3 linked regions of the Caenorhabditis elegans genome follow. The protein of the gene in region 1 interacts with the protein of each later gene in a pairwise test. Each region holds a gene or a part of one and is shown in the gene's direction. Other genes may lie near its edges.

The links. Proteins that work in one complex are often made in the same cells at the same time.
Region 2: the proteins of pas-4 (region 1) and C56C10.7 interact in a two-hybrid assay, tested with the Caenorhabditis elegans proteins (3 studies listed by BioGRID).
Region 3: the proteins of pas-4 (region 1) and Y105C5B.19 interact in a two-hybrid assay, tested with the Caenorhabditis elegans proteins (2 studies listed by BioGRID).

Annotation. Positions count from the first base shown.
Region 1 is NC_003279.8:8,726,667-8,730,031, reverse strand, and holds pas-4 (Proteasome subunit alpha type-7), read left to right. Parts: upstream 1-1,544; coding exon 1,545-1,643; intron 1,644-1,904; coding exon 1,905-2,156; intron 2,157-2,202; coding exon 2,203-2,499; intron 2,500-2,579; coding exon 2,580-2,693; 3' UTR 2,694-2,814; downstream 2,815-3,365. Other genes in the region: rpb-3 (DNA-directed RNA polymerase RpoA/D/Rpb3-type domain-containing protein), read right to left, coding at 68-195, 241-329, 379-626, 779-904, 952-1,086, 1,141-1,263. UniProt on the Caenorhabditis elegans protein: The proteasome is a multicatalytic proteinase complex which is characterized by its ability to cleave peptides with Arg, Phe, Tyr, Leu, and Glu adjacent to the leaving group at neutral or slightly basic pH.
Region 2 is NC_003280.10:6,583,889-6,589,153, reverse strand, and holds C56C10.7 (putative trafficking protein particle complex subunit 13 homolog), read left to right. Parts: upstream 1-1,584; 5' UTR 1,585-1,675; coding exon 1,676-1,727; intron 1,728-1,772; coding exon 1,773-1,941; intron 1,942-1,988; coding exon 1,989-2,073; intron 2,074-2,398; exon of another isoform or gene 2,399-2,473; intron 2,474-2,546; coding exon 2,547-2,671; intron 2,672-2,771; coding exon 2,772-2,889; intron 2,890-2,939; exon of another isoform or gene 2,940-2,983; coding exon 2,984-2,992; intron 2,993-3,041; coding exon 3,042-3,157; intron 3,158-3,542; coding exon 3,543-3,735; intron 3,736-3,779; coding exon 3,780-3,880; intron 3,881-4,341; coding exon 4,342-4,579; 3' UTR 4,580-4,733; downstream 4,734-5,265. Other genes in the region: icd-1 (Transcription factor BTF3 homolog), read left to right, coding at 514-588, 633-746, 793-901, 951-1,079, 1,129-1,187; dbd-7 (DB domain-containing protein), read right to left, coding at 4,786-5,058, 5,104-5,199.
Region 3 is NC_003282.8:15,981,043-15,985,891, reverse strand, and holds Y105C5B.19 (Major sperm protein), read left to right. Parts: upstream 1-1,921; coding exon 1,922-2,584; intron 2,585-3,132; coding exon 3,133-3,270; intron 3,271-3,318; coding exon 3,319-3,552; intron 3,553-3,614; coding exon 3,615-3,711; exon of another isoform or gene 3,712-3,715; intron 3,716-3,800; coding exon 3,801-3,891; intron 3,892-3,936; coding exon 3,937-4,044; intron 4,045-4,090; coding exon 4,091-4,214; 3' UTR 4,215-4,317; downstream 4,318-4,849.

The DNA of each region.
Region 1 (3,365 bases):
CAGGAGAGATACGAAAATCAACGAGAAGAGTTAATAATAACGTAAATAAATTAGAGATCCAAATAGTTTACTGCTGCTGGGCATGAGCTTGAAGTTCATTTGAAAGAGCCATATTTAGTTCCTCCAGTTTTCTCTTCAAGATTCCGATTCCCATTGTCACGATTCGCTGTGCTGGAAGAGCACCAGTTCCTTCGACTGAAACATTTAAAATTATAAGCAAAATATCTGACCGTGACTTACTAGAGAACCAGAACTTGTTAGGCTTGTTGTCCGGCTCGAATGGTGCCTCCTTTTCAGTGCTGTCTTCTGGTAAAGATGAATGATCGCTTCTGCAAAAAAAATGTACGAAATTCACAAAATACTGATAATAGTTCTTACCTTGGCCATTCCTCAACATTCGGATAAATTGTATGTCGGAGAGCATTGTCTGGATCATATTCAAATGCAACTCCACAGGTGGGATTCCATTTTGCATGTTCCTTTCCGAAACCCTTTTTAACATAGGCTTTTAGGTTAAGCTCTTGTCCCTTACGCAATTTTACAATCAGAATCTCTTCTCTGTTGTGAAATTCGTCACGGGTCGATCCACGCTCACGTAGTGCTTTTCCACAAGCTGGTCGGACGGTCTGTAAAATTCCAATTCAAATATTTATCAAATGTAGTGAAGTACGGACCCTAATAAGATTGCTCATCGATTTTATTTAAACGTTATTAATATTATTATTGAAATTTAATTCACTCCATTAAAAAAAAATGAGTTGCATTTTTTTAAATTTACCGTGTCTAAATTATGCATTGGCATTAGATGCTCGGTAGTAACAGCCAAAGTAGCTTCATCTTTACATTTCATCTGCAGAATGAACGGTATCGAACACTCATCGCAGAACTCGGCACATTCACAATCCTAAAACCAACATTTAAAAAGTTGTGAAAGATTCAACCCTATCTTACTCTGGTGTATTGCATTTTTTCGACATGATAATCAGATATGAACGGAATCAAACCCATGCGATGTGCAATAAATTCGTCGTGGAGGACAGAAGTGTTAGTTTCAATTTGAACCCAATCAATAGCTATGGTTGGCACCTGAAATGTAATTAAAAATATAGAAAGAGTAATGGTAAACAGGAAACAACTCACTTCTGCCATGAAAACTCGTCTCAGTGAATTTGCGACACTCAAATCAGTGTCCCACAGTACAAACTTGATTATATCATTTGTCAGTTCGGTAACCTCGATGTTAGGTTGATTTGCGTACGGCATTACTAAAAATGATTATTATAAGGAAAAATGAAAAATCTAATTATTGAATTGAAAACATTTAAGTCGAACAGAAATTCAAAACAAAACGTCGCTAAACAACACGCACATTCGTTATTTCGGAGTGTCGTTTCAGGTTCTCGGTTGGTAAGCGAAGTACGGTAACACTCATTTCAACTGTGCGCTTTTGTCACTGCACAATTTCAAATAATCATTTTTTAATTATTTTTTCGTTTTAAAGTTAAAAATGGTTCAGAGTTATTTCAAATTTTAAAATTTTTCAGATGAACAGATACGATCGTGCTATCACTATCTTCTCCCCTGATGGACACTTGTTCCAAGTGGAATATGCCCAGGAAGCTGTCAAGAAGGGTTCGACTGCGGTGAGTGGTTCCCCTGATGAAAATCAGTTGGCAGAAAATTATATGAGTTGCACTTTCATATGAATATGATATCAGCTAGAATTGAAGCACCCGATTCAAGAAGATTTTAGATCTATTTATCGTTTTATATTTAAAAATAAATCAAAAAATTCAATGTAGATGATTGATATTATCTATCTAAAAATCTAAAATTTCCCGAATTATGGTTCAAAATAATACGGTTATTTTTAAAACCTCAAGTTATAATTATGAATGTTTCAGGTCGGTGTTCGCGGAAAGGATTGCATTGTTATCGGTGTTGAGAAGAAGTCAATTCCAGCTCTTCAAGATGACCGCACAATCCGTAAAATTCATATGATCGACGACCATGTGATGCTCGCTTTTGCTGGATTGTCCGCAGATGCTCGTGTTCTTGTTGATCGTGCTCGTATCGAGTGCCAGTCGTACAAGTTGACTCTTGAAGATCCAGTTACCGTTGCCTATATCTCCAGATATATTGCAAACACGAAGCAGGTATAAATATTTTATTTATGCAAGCATAACTTTTACTGATTTTCAGCGCTTCACACAATCTCCAGGACGTCGCCCATTCGGAATTTCAATGCTCATTGGAGGATTCGATCATGACGGAACTCCACGTCTTTTCAAAACCGAGCCATCTGGAGCTTACTACGAGTACGTTGCCAACGCGACTGGAAGAGGAGAGAAACCAGTGCGTGAATACCTTGAGGAGCAATACAGCGAGGAAAATACTGTCGACGAAGCTACCACTCTTAAATTGGTTGTAAAGTCGCTGGCTCAGGTCGTACCACCAGGATCACAAAATATCGAGATTGCAGTCATGAAAAAAGTTAATGTAAGTGATTTCCACCTGAGATTATTTTCAGTAATAACATTTTTTTAAATTGAAGATGGTCCTTAATTTTAATTTTTTAGGATGAGCTGCAGCAACGTGTATTGTCAACTGAAGAAATCGAGGCTCTCCTGAAGGTTGTTGAGACAGAACGTGTGGCTGCTGAGGCTGAAGAGGCTGCATCCAAGAAGAAGTAGATTCGAACTTTTGTCTTCTGTCCATTATCCGTGTGTATTGATTTCCCAGTTATCTGCTCCCCTTTTCAAAACCTAATTTATTTTATTCATCTTTATTGACGGGAATGAAAAAGTTTTCCCTAAAATCTTCGAAATTCCTTTAAAACCATGAAAAGAAAGAAGCTATATATTCGAAATGACAAGATAATTGTGGGGTTCATTTGAAAAAAAGAGAAAAATATATATAAAGAAAATTCCAATTCGGCGAGCAATGGTTTCTGAAACTTCTAGCTTTCTGAAATATGGTATCCTTAAATGAGATTTGTTTTATAAGTTAACCTACATTTTCGAATAGAACGCATAATCTCTGCAATAATAATCACAGTCATTTTTTTTCCTGAAGTTCATTTTTCATTCAAAATTCTTCGATGAACCGATTGAAGTGGCAGTGGTTATGCAAATTGTTCTATACATTTCCTCTCCCAAGCAGAGGACCTTTTCGGTGAAATTCCGAATAAAAGTGAGCGGTACAAAAAGAGGGAAAGGAGGCAAATTTGAATATATTTCATTTATAAGCCTTCAAAAGTCTCCTCCTAGACTTACAAGATGCCATTGCCCTACGGCTACTTTTTTTTTCAAATATTAGATCTATTAATTTTATTAGATCTATTAATAAGATCTAATTTTTATATA
Region 2 (5,265 bases), on another chromosome or scaffold:
TTTGACATTTTAATGATGAAGCGAGATATAGAGAAATAGAGAAAGAAAGGAGTATGAGAAACGACGAGACAGAGAGGGTGAGAGGAAAACGACTGGCAGCAAGCCAGATTCTGCGTATGTGCCCCTTACCCCTATATCAAGAAATTTTAAAGCAAGGGGCACATACGCACGGAATGTTCGGGTCTCGCGAAAAAATTTTCTACCGTTTCGGTGATTTTTTCTGAATTTCATTGTTTTTGACTTCTTTCTATCTTTTTAGATTCTATTTCATTATTGTTTACACCATTTTCATAATTTTCTGTCGATCTCGTAGGTGTATTCGTTTCCGTGCCTGAATTTAGGCTAAAACTGATTCGATTGATAAACTTACATTTCCGTTTTTCGCGTTTGTCCGCATTTTCCCCGTCCCTTTGTTATTTTAGGAATAAATATTCTTAACTGGCTTTATCCTTTTTGTTCTCACGTTTTCACGTCTTTAATTATATTTTTCGTCTTCAGGTAATCCTTCCAAAAATGGATAGCAAGGCTATTGCGGAGAGAATCAAGAAGCTCCAAGCTCAACAGGAGCATGTCAGAATTGGAGGAAAGGTAAATATTTAAATTTATAATTTTATCTCTCCTATTTCTTTCAGGGAACTCCACGCAGAAAGAAGAAGGTCATCCACAAGACCGCTGCTGCCGATGACAAGAAGCTTCAAAGCAACTTGAAGAAACTCTCTGTCACCAACATTCCAGGAATCGAGGAGGTAAACTTTGATTTAAAGTATTAATTTAATTTCTGTAACTTTTCAGGTCAACATGATTAAGGACGATGGAACCGTTATCCACTTCAACAACCCAAAAGTCCAAACCTCTGTTCCAGCCAATACCTTCTCTGTCACAGGATCAGCCGATAACAAGCGTAAGTATTGCTCATTGGCTGAATGTTTTTAACCTTACATATTTTGCAGAGATCACTGAAATGCTCCCAGGAATCCTCAACCAACTCGGTCCAGAGTCCCTCACCCACCTCAAGAAACTTGCCAACAACGTTACCAAGCTCGGACCAGATGGAAAGGGAGAGGACGAAGATGTGCCAGGTTGGAAAATCATAAAAGATTTTTTTTAAATAACAGGTTCATTTTTCAGAACTTGTTGGAGACTTCGACGCCGCCTCAAAGAACGAGACGAAAGCCGATGAGCAATAAATCACTACCCTTTCATCGACCAATTCGCGAGTTTTGTGAGATGAACGGTACGGATAGCATCCGCATTAGTATATCCCATTTTTCTTGTTACTGTTGATCGATTTCAATGAATCTCTTTAAAAAAATACTTGCTCTGTCACCTTTTTTTCCGCCCCCATTAGTGTTCGTTGTTATACTTGTTTTGTATACAAATTTATTCCCGATCCTCAAATGGCTAATAAATGTTAGCTATGTATTTAAAGCAAGCTTTCTACGTTCCGATGATTTTGAATTCTTAGGGGTTCCGGGGATCCTTCTAGTAATATCTGTTCCTCGGTGTTTATTTTCCGTTATTTTGGGTAGTTTTCCACTGACTTCCATTTTGTTAAACTCAATAAAAGTTGCACAAATATTCCAGCTCGAAAGAATATTTTGTAAGGTTAGAAATTCCGAAAAGTTATACTGTGATTTCATCCCGGCGGAAAGCTAATTATTTATAAATCAGGACAATGGCTGACAATCCTGCAAGTTCTTCTTCACAACAGCTTCTTGCTCTGCGGGGTAATTTTAGTTCTCATCATTAATCAATCATAGCTTCGATTTTAGTTATGAGATTGGCTCGTCCAAAATTTGCTCCTGTCGATGGTTTCTCCCACGATCCCGTCGATCCTACAGGATTCGGTGAACTTCTCGCTGGAAAAGTTTCAGAAATATCGAAAGAATCTCGACAAGATCTTCCAATCGGCGAATATTTGATTGCACCACAAATGTTCGAGTGAGTCGATTGATCAAGGCGCTGTTTAAAAAACCGTTTCGTTTCAGAAATATCTATCTGGGAGAGACGTTTACTTTCTATGTAAATGTTGTAAACGAAAGCGAGAAGACTGTCTCTAGTGTGAGCCTAAAAGTAAGTAAATGGACTCATTTTTTAAGATAAAAAGTAAAAAAAAATTAAATTTCTTCGCTCACTGGAAATTCAAACTGGTTGCTGCGGAATTTATCGATTTTCATAGTTTTTTTATATTAAAACGAAAACTCAAATTAATGATAAAATAATTCAAATTTCACCAAATAGAGAAAAACGTTGAAAAATCGATACAAATTCCACAGCAACAAAATTTTGAAACCACAGTACTCCTGAAAGGCGCGCTCCCTTTTCGCAATTAACTAAAATTTGTCGTGTCGGGACCGGCCACTCTATTTTCGATACAAAATGCGCATCTGGGTAATATGAGCAAATTAATTTCACTCCAGATTTGCAGTTTCAGCTTTCTTAGTTGTGAAAAAGTGAATTTCCAAAATTCCAGGTATTTAACATGTAACAATTATCAATTTTCAAAGACCCCATCAATATTCCTTTTTAAAAAAGATTTGTTTCAGTGTGAGCTTCAAACATCAACTCAACGAGTTGTTCTTCCATGTTCCGTTCAAGACGCAACAATCGAATCTTCAAAATGTGAAGGACAGGTCATCAGTCACGAAGTGAAAGAAATCGGGCAACATATGTAAGTTTTCCTGTTTAATCTCTCTCTGGTTTTCCTCCATTTTCTCAAAATCTTCCCCCCGTTGCCATGACACCTTTGCATTAACTTTGTTCTTTTTTAGACTGATATGCTCGGTCAACTACAAAACATCGAACGGCGAGAACATGTATTTCCGGAAATTTTTCAAATTTCCAGTATCGAAACCGATTGATGTGAAAACAAAGTTTTACAGTGCCGAGGTGTGTGAGATTTTGTAATAAATATTAATTTTATTTGGTCAATTTTGCATGTTTCGTCCAACCGAGTGCTGTGTATAAATGTCGTTTTCTTTAGGACAATGCGGTGAGAACTTTAAAATATTTTATTTTTGTCTAAATTATGTTTCTTTCAGAATCAAGATGTCTACCTCGAAGCCCAAATTGAAAATACATCAAATGCGAATATGTTCCTGGAAAAAGTCGAGTTGGATCCAAGTCAACATTATAATGTTACTAGTATCGCTCATGAGTACGTACTACATATTACGGGAATACAAAATTCTGAGTATAATTATTGCGCAAAATATCTTTTAGCGAAAACTACAGTAACTTTTTAAATGTCTACTATAGCGCTTGTGTCGATTTCCGAAAATTTATTTATCGAACAAATATTGAAATTAAAGAAAATAATACGAAAAAACGAAGAAAAATGGATTATCGCTGTCACTATTCGAACAGAAATTCGTTTCGAAATCTAGCCCGTAAATCGACATGAGCGCTACAGTAGGCATCTAAAGAATTACTGTAGTTTTCGCTACGAGATATTTTGCGTGTCAAGTATGTTGCGCAATACGCATTTCAGAATTTTTAGGACCGTAATATATAGTATTTATATTTTTTAAAAATATTTATAGGGATGAATTTGGCGATGTTGGAAAACTTCTGAAACCAAAAGACATTCGTCAGTTTTTGTTCTGTCTAACACCAGCCGATGTTCATAACACACTTGGATATAAAGATTTGACAAGTATTGGAAAGTTGGATATGTCATGGAGAACGAGCATGGGAGAGAAGGGACGGCTCCAAACTAGTGCTCTTCAAAGAATTGTAAGTTTCACTTCTTTTGATAGAACATATTGAAACGAGTTTAGGCACCTGGATATGGAGATGTTCGACTTTCTGTCGAGAAGACGCCAGCATGCGTAGATGTTCAGAAACCTTTTGAAGTGTCTTGCAGACTTTACAATTGCTCGTAAGTCGATTATATTCTAACAGACGCGAAATTTTGTGATTTTTGACACAAAAATACCGTAACCGGTCTCTACATGGCAAATGTTTGTGAAATGCGGAAATGCGTGCGCCTCTAAAGATAACTAACAAAAAAAATTTAGTTGCACTAAAATTTTTATTGAATACATAGCATTTTGATAAAATCTATTTATTTATTAAAAAATAAATATAACAATAAAAATAAATTTTAGTAAACCGTGCGAAAAACTGAAAAATCGATTAAAATTCCACAGCAACGAAAGTTACAGCGAAAGAAGCGAAAGAACTACAGTACTTTTTAAAGGCGCACTCCCTTTTCGCATTTAACAAAAAATTGTCGTGTCAAAATCGGGTACCATATTTTTGGTGGAAAATCACGAAATTTTTTCGTCTGGTTAATAATATTTTCATTAAAAATATTTGAATGTAATTTCTAATTTTCAGAGAAAGAGCACTTGATCTACAACTTCGACTTGAACAACCATCGAATCGTCATCTTGTTTTCTGTTCACCATCCGGAGTCTCTCTCGGACAACTTCCTCCTTCACAACATGTCGACTTCTCTCTCAACGTTTTCCCGGTTACTGTAGGAATTCAAAGCATATCAGGAATACGGATCACCGACACATTCACCAAAAGAATCTATGAGCACGACGATATCGCTCAAATTTTCGTCAGTTGAACAGCTACAACAATTTATAACACGTTTGATTTGTAAATAGACTGATACTTGTGTAGTTACTTATGTATTTCAGTAATTTATTTATTTATTTTTGGTTGTGAAAGAATGGATTAAAATATGAAGGTGATGACGTGTGGGAACGCGTCGATAAATATATATTATACAGACACAAAGACAATGGCTGAAAATTTAAAACTAAAATTCTTCTAATATTTTCTAGATCTTTCAGCAGCATCATGCCAGAAGCACGATTTCATATTCTCAAAACGATCGTAGCAAGATACGTAGGAATAGTCAAGAAGTGTCACGTTTCCAGGTCTCTGATCACAGAATGTTAAACATTTGTCACCAGCAAGTGTAGTCGTGACACCGTTTCTTGTACAGCATGCACGATGATCTCTTCCTTGAGCGGCACAGAATTGAATTTCGGCAGAAGCAGCTAATGGGCATGAATCTTGACGGAAGTACATACGGGTTAACTGAAATTGATATTTAAGATGTTTGAATTAGTTTTGATAAATTACCGATTCCTTAGTGTAAGTATTGAATGTACATTTCTGAAGACATGCATCTGGTAGACCTCTTTGCTCACAACATTGCATGAATAACGCATTGGGATCCTACAAAAATAGAAACCGGTTCAAAAAGAAACAATGACTATAAAAAGAGAAACAGAGAGAAAAAGT
Region 3 (4,849 bases), on another chromosome or scaffold:
CAACTTCCTAAACTGTTGCTAGATTGATCGAAATGCAGATGGCATTTAAAATATTTGGGAGCGTTTTATTTATATTTCAATTCATTCTTTTGAATAGCAGATAAGGTATCTAATATAACATTTTAAAATACTTATTCTTTAAAATTTTGATTATTTCATAAATTTTACTGATTATGAATTTTATAAAGTTAGAACGGTAGATTAGCGCGTCAAGCGCGCTAGGCTTCGCAGTAGTTTAAGTTCGAAAACTGTGGAAAAGTTTGATAATTTTTGAAGGAAAATGGTTCAATTTTTTTCATTGAATTAAATTACTGTCATATCATTAAATTACTATTGAATAAGTAAACTTTTCTTGAAATCTTATTTCTTACTTGAAACAGTAATTTCAATTCTCGAAACGTAAAAAATTATATGATTTTTCCGTTTTTCCTTCATTTAAAATGATTTTACACCAAAAACAGTTTCATAAAGTTGTTTAATGTGTTCTAGAAATATCAATTATTTTATAAATTTCAAATCACTTTTTTGAGAAAAGAAATCTGAATTTTGTCAGAGATGTTTCAACTGGTTTTCAAAAGAAAAACTTGAGTAACTATTTTTAGTAGATAGATCCTTCGACCTTTCCAGTCGTTTTAACAGTGAAAAAAAAACCCGATAATCAACACATTATTCCACATTACTTGTGGGGTTTCTCAAGAACGCCTAACGCTAACGAAATATGAGCGCCCGACATCTACCGAGTTTCACTCACCTATATGAGATATAAATCAGTGCAGTAAAAGCTAATTTTCAAATATTTCCAATACACGAACAATAATGAAACTAGTCAGTTTTATAATATTAATTTCTGAAAATTTAAGCAGTTTCACAAATTTTTTTTCTTCGAAATTTCGACAAACTTAAAAGCATTATTGAATGATCAAATTTATCTAGTAATTTTAAGTCTACTTGAAACTGTAATTTCAATTCTCGAAATGCAAAACAAATTATAGGATTTCCGCGTTTTTCTTTCATTAAAAATCATTTATAGGGAATTATCTTTGAAAAAATAAACGTTAACAAATGTTCCCGAAACAACAGATTATCAGTCCAATAATATGTCAAGTTGTTCTTGGAGCTATGATTTGCAGTTGAAAAAGTGAAATTATTTTTATTTTCCCCAGCATTTTAAAAAAGTTACATCAATATTAAATACAAACTTGAAACAGTATTTTCAATTAATTAATTTTTTATTTTAATTTTTCTTTTATGCTTAGTTGTTTAAACAGTAGATGTTTTCTCTAACAGTTAACAGTTTTTTTTTAATATTTGCCATCTCTTTGTTGTGGGGCAAACGCTCGAAAAATTCAAAATTCTAATCAAAACCAATCAATAAACACTAAAAACGCTCCAAACCCCCCTCTCGTAAACCAACGTCCGTTGTCCTGAAACGTTCCTTTTCTCTGCGTCTCTCGTCATTTCTCTTACCACCACCTGCGTCTCTCACACTAATTCGGTCTCTCAACTCGCGGCGGGAGGCATTGCGCGCAAACAATGCTTCCCGTGCGGTGACGTTTTCGATTTTATCGGTTTTTATTTTGTGTTGTTTCTTGTTTCTCGTGAATTTTATATTGTTATTCACTAATTTTGAAAATTCGCGGTTTTTTAATTCAAATCTTTTTTTTAATTTAAAAAAAACGAGTGCTAGTCAGAAAGTCCCATTTTGCTTTGACCTTCAAAAAATGTGGGAGCAGCGACGCAGACATATCATCTGATTTTGCATGGTTTAGAGCGTGCTTACGTCACAATTTTTATGAATAAATATTCCCGCATTTTTCGTAGATCAAACCGAATGTGTGTACCTGACACCACGTCGATTATCACTATTGATTTTTTGAATTTTATTTGAACGCTCAAAATCTAAAAAAAATTCAATTTTCAGATGTCCCGCCGAGCTTCAAAAAGACCTGCTCCGTATCCACTCCTATGCGAACAAAAACCGGAAGATCTTCTAGTTGCTCCAGTCGAACATAAGGTTTACCAGGATTTTGAGCCTAAAAGACCCCGAGAATTTTCCCCCGTGATGGCTCAATCCCTTCCACCAGGAGAAATTGACTTCCAACCGAGCAAAATCATCTTCAATGCTCCGTACAATGAAAACCAAGAATCTAAAATCAAATTAATCAATACTTCGGCTCTTCGTATTGCTTATGGAATCAATACATATATGAAAAGACTCAGAGTTGATACGATGTGCACTCCAAATTGTGGAGTACTCGATCCAAGTGAGGAGATTCTTCTAACAATTTCCTGCGATGCTTTTGCATTCGGACAAGTAGATACCACAAATGACCGTATCACTGTCGAATGGACCAATACGTCTGAAGGATCCACCAAGCAGTTCTGTCGTGATTGGTTGGATGGAGATGGGATGGTTCGTCGTAAGACCCTTCCGATAGAGTACAGCTCATCTCCAATTGCTCAAACATCTTCGGCACCCCTTCTTCAGGCCTCTAAGCATGGGATGTGGTTGCCGATTGGATTCGCTGCTTCCGAATTGTACGATTATGCGAAAGGGGAACCATTGGATCGGAAGACTTGTGAGGTAGGTTTTGAGGGGATTATTTCTAGAGCAACTCGTATAGTGTCGGGCGCTGAAGTTCAGACGATTGAAATCTGATAGCAGCCAACATTGCACGGGCCTAGTTAGAATAACGAGTTTGCATGGCGAGACTTGTGAAATGTCGGTTTGCTTGTAGAAACAAAATCTCACCGCGAACTCCTCTAAAACTGCTTTTGCTAGCAGCCGACATTAAAACGAACGAACGGAAGCAGAAGTCGGTGCTTTACAGTATTGTTAAAGAAACTCGCAAAGTGTCGGGAGCTGAAATCCAAGTGCTTGAAATTTGATAGCAGCCGACACCACAATGGCCCAGTTAGAACAATATTGAATGTTGAGACTCGTGAAATGTCGGCTTGTTTATAGGAACAAAATATTACCCGTGGACTCTTTTAAAACTGCTGTTGCTAGCAGCCGACATTTTACGGGCCCACCACGGAATTTGCAGTCTAACTCGTAAGATGTCAGTTGCTTACAGTACATCATTGTAGTCAAGACCTTAGCCCTGCCAAATAAATCTTCAAATTTTTCAGAAAAACCTGGAGAAACTCATCAAAAATGACCGTGATGTTGACTACTACGAATGGCTCAATTTCGCCAAGCGGTGTCGAACACAAAATCAGAATTTGATGGAGGAAATGGCACTTGGAATGGCTTTCACTACGGCGATGGTGAGCAATTTCCAAAAGTTTCGAAAATTAAAAAAAATTCGCTTTCAGGCAAACAAGCAGCACAGGAAGATTTCTCGAAAAGCGGAGAAAATCACGGAACCGATCACAACGAACAAGGCATTCTCAATTGACTCAGCCGAGAAGTTTGACAGAGCTTTGACGTTGCCCAGCAGGAAATGGTTCATGATTTCCGATGTTGTGACGGATGGAGATGTGTCGAATTGGTCGACGGCTAACTTGGTGACTCTTGTGAGAGCTCTGGCGAGAACGGTTTTCGATAAGGTATGCTTAGTGGAGTCTTGCGTAGACTTTATAGAATCTTGCGTAAACTCCAAAAATTTAAGGTTGCCATTGCGGACCCCCATATGATGTGCTACGCAACTTCACAAAACGCTTCTACATATATTCCCATCGCTAGGGACTTTTTCGAAGGGTTTGCTGGTTAGTTTTCCACACGTTTCACCAAAAATTTATAAATTCTTTGAAACAGTAGGAAATTTAATATTAAAAAAACCATGTTCCTCTTCCAGAGTACATACTCGGTGGGTTCGGCGAAGAACAATCGCGAGACCTGAAGTTTCGAGTGAGGAAGCTGGTCACCGACGTTATGGGCAATAAGTTGTGAGTTTTACTGTCTCAGGGCTCAGTACTAAATTTATTTTTCAGAGACCGTGTGAGAGGCCGCCACAACAAAATGTATGGAAACGAAGCAAGTGAAGATGCCACAAGATGGCTCCGAGAGCAACTCCGCAAGGAGGATGGAGAGCTCAAAGAGTTTGTGATTTCATTGAGTTTTATAAAAATCGATAATTTTTTTCAGATCCCGACTAATTTTCCCAAATGGCTCAGAAATGATGTGTAACTATCAGGTAAACGAAGAAAACCCAGAAGGAAGTATAAAATCAGAAATTTTCAATGACGAAGAGGAAGTGGAAATGGAATAATTTGTTTTTGAAATTGTTATATTTTGTTGACTTTTCTATTAACTTATGTATTTCAATTCTGAAAAAAAAACATTTCAGCTGTCTATATAAAAGTTTTTCCAGCGCTCCTCTCATAGTTCTCAAGGTTTCAATAATTTGAAAATTTCAAATTTTTACTGTTTCAATGTGTTGTGAAACATGAGCTAAAATTAAAATGAAATGTTAGTCCCATAGTAAAAAGTTTTTGTTGTGAAATTGCAGTCCCGTGCAATTTTTGGCTCTGTTCGAGATTTTCTACTATATTTCCAGCCACAATTTGTAGAGTCGCATATTACTTAAATATAAATTAAAAAGAATCAATAATAACTGTTTAAAAAATAGTTTTGGGTCAACAGTGAAAATTTTACTGCGCAGAAAACTGTTGCTCACTTCAAATTTGAGCACAAAATCTATAAAAATTGTTTCATGGTGTTCATTTATTGGAACTGTTAGCATCAACATGAATTAAATTTATTGATCTCAGAGATCATCGGCTCAGATGATGTTCAACTCCAACTTTAAAAAGATTTCAGTGCCCTTAAGTACTTTAGCATTTTTTATAGCTCTTTTCACTTTTATAGTTGGAAAAAAAGTTTGAACATATAGTAAATGCGCCA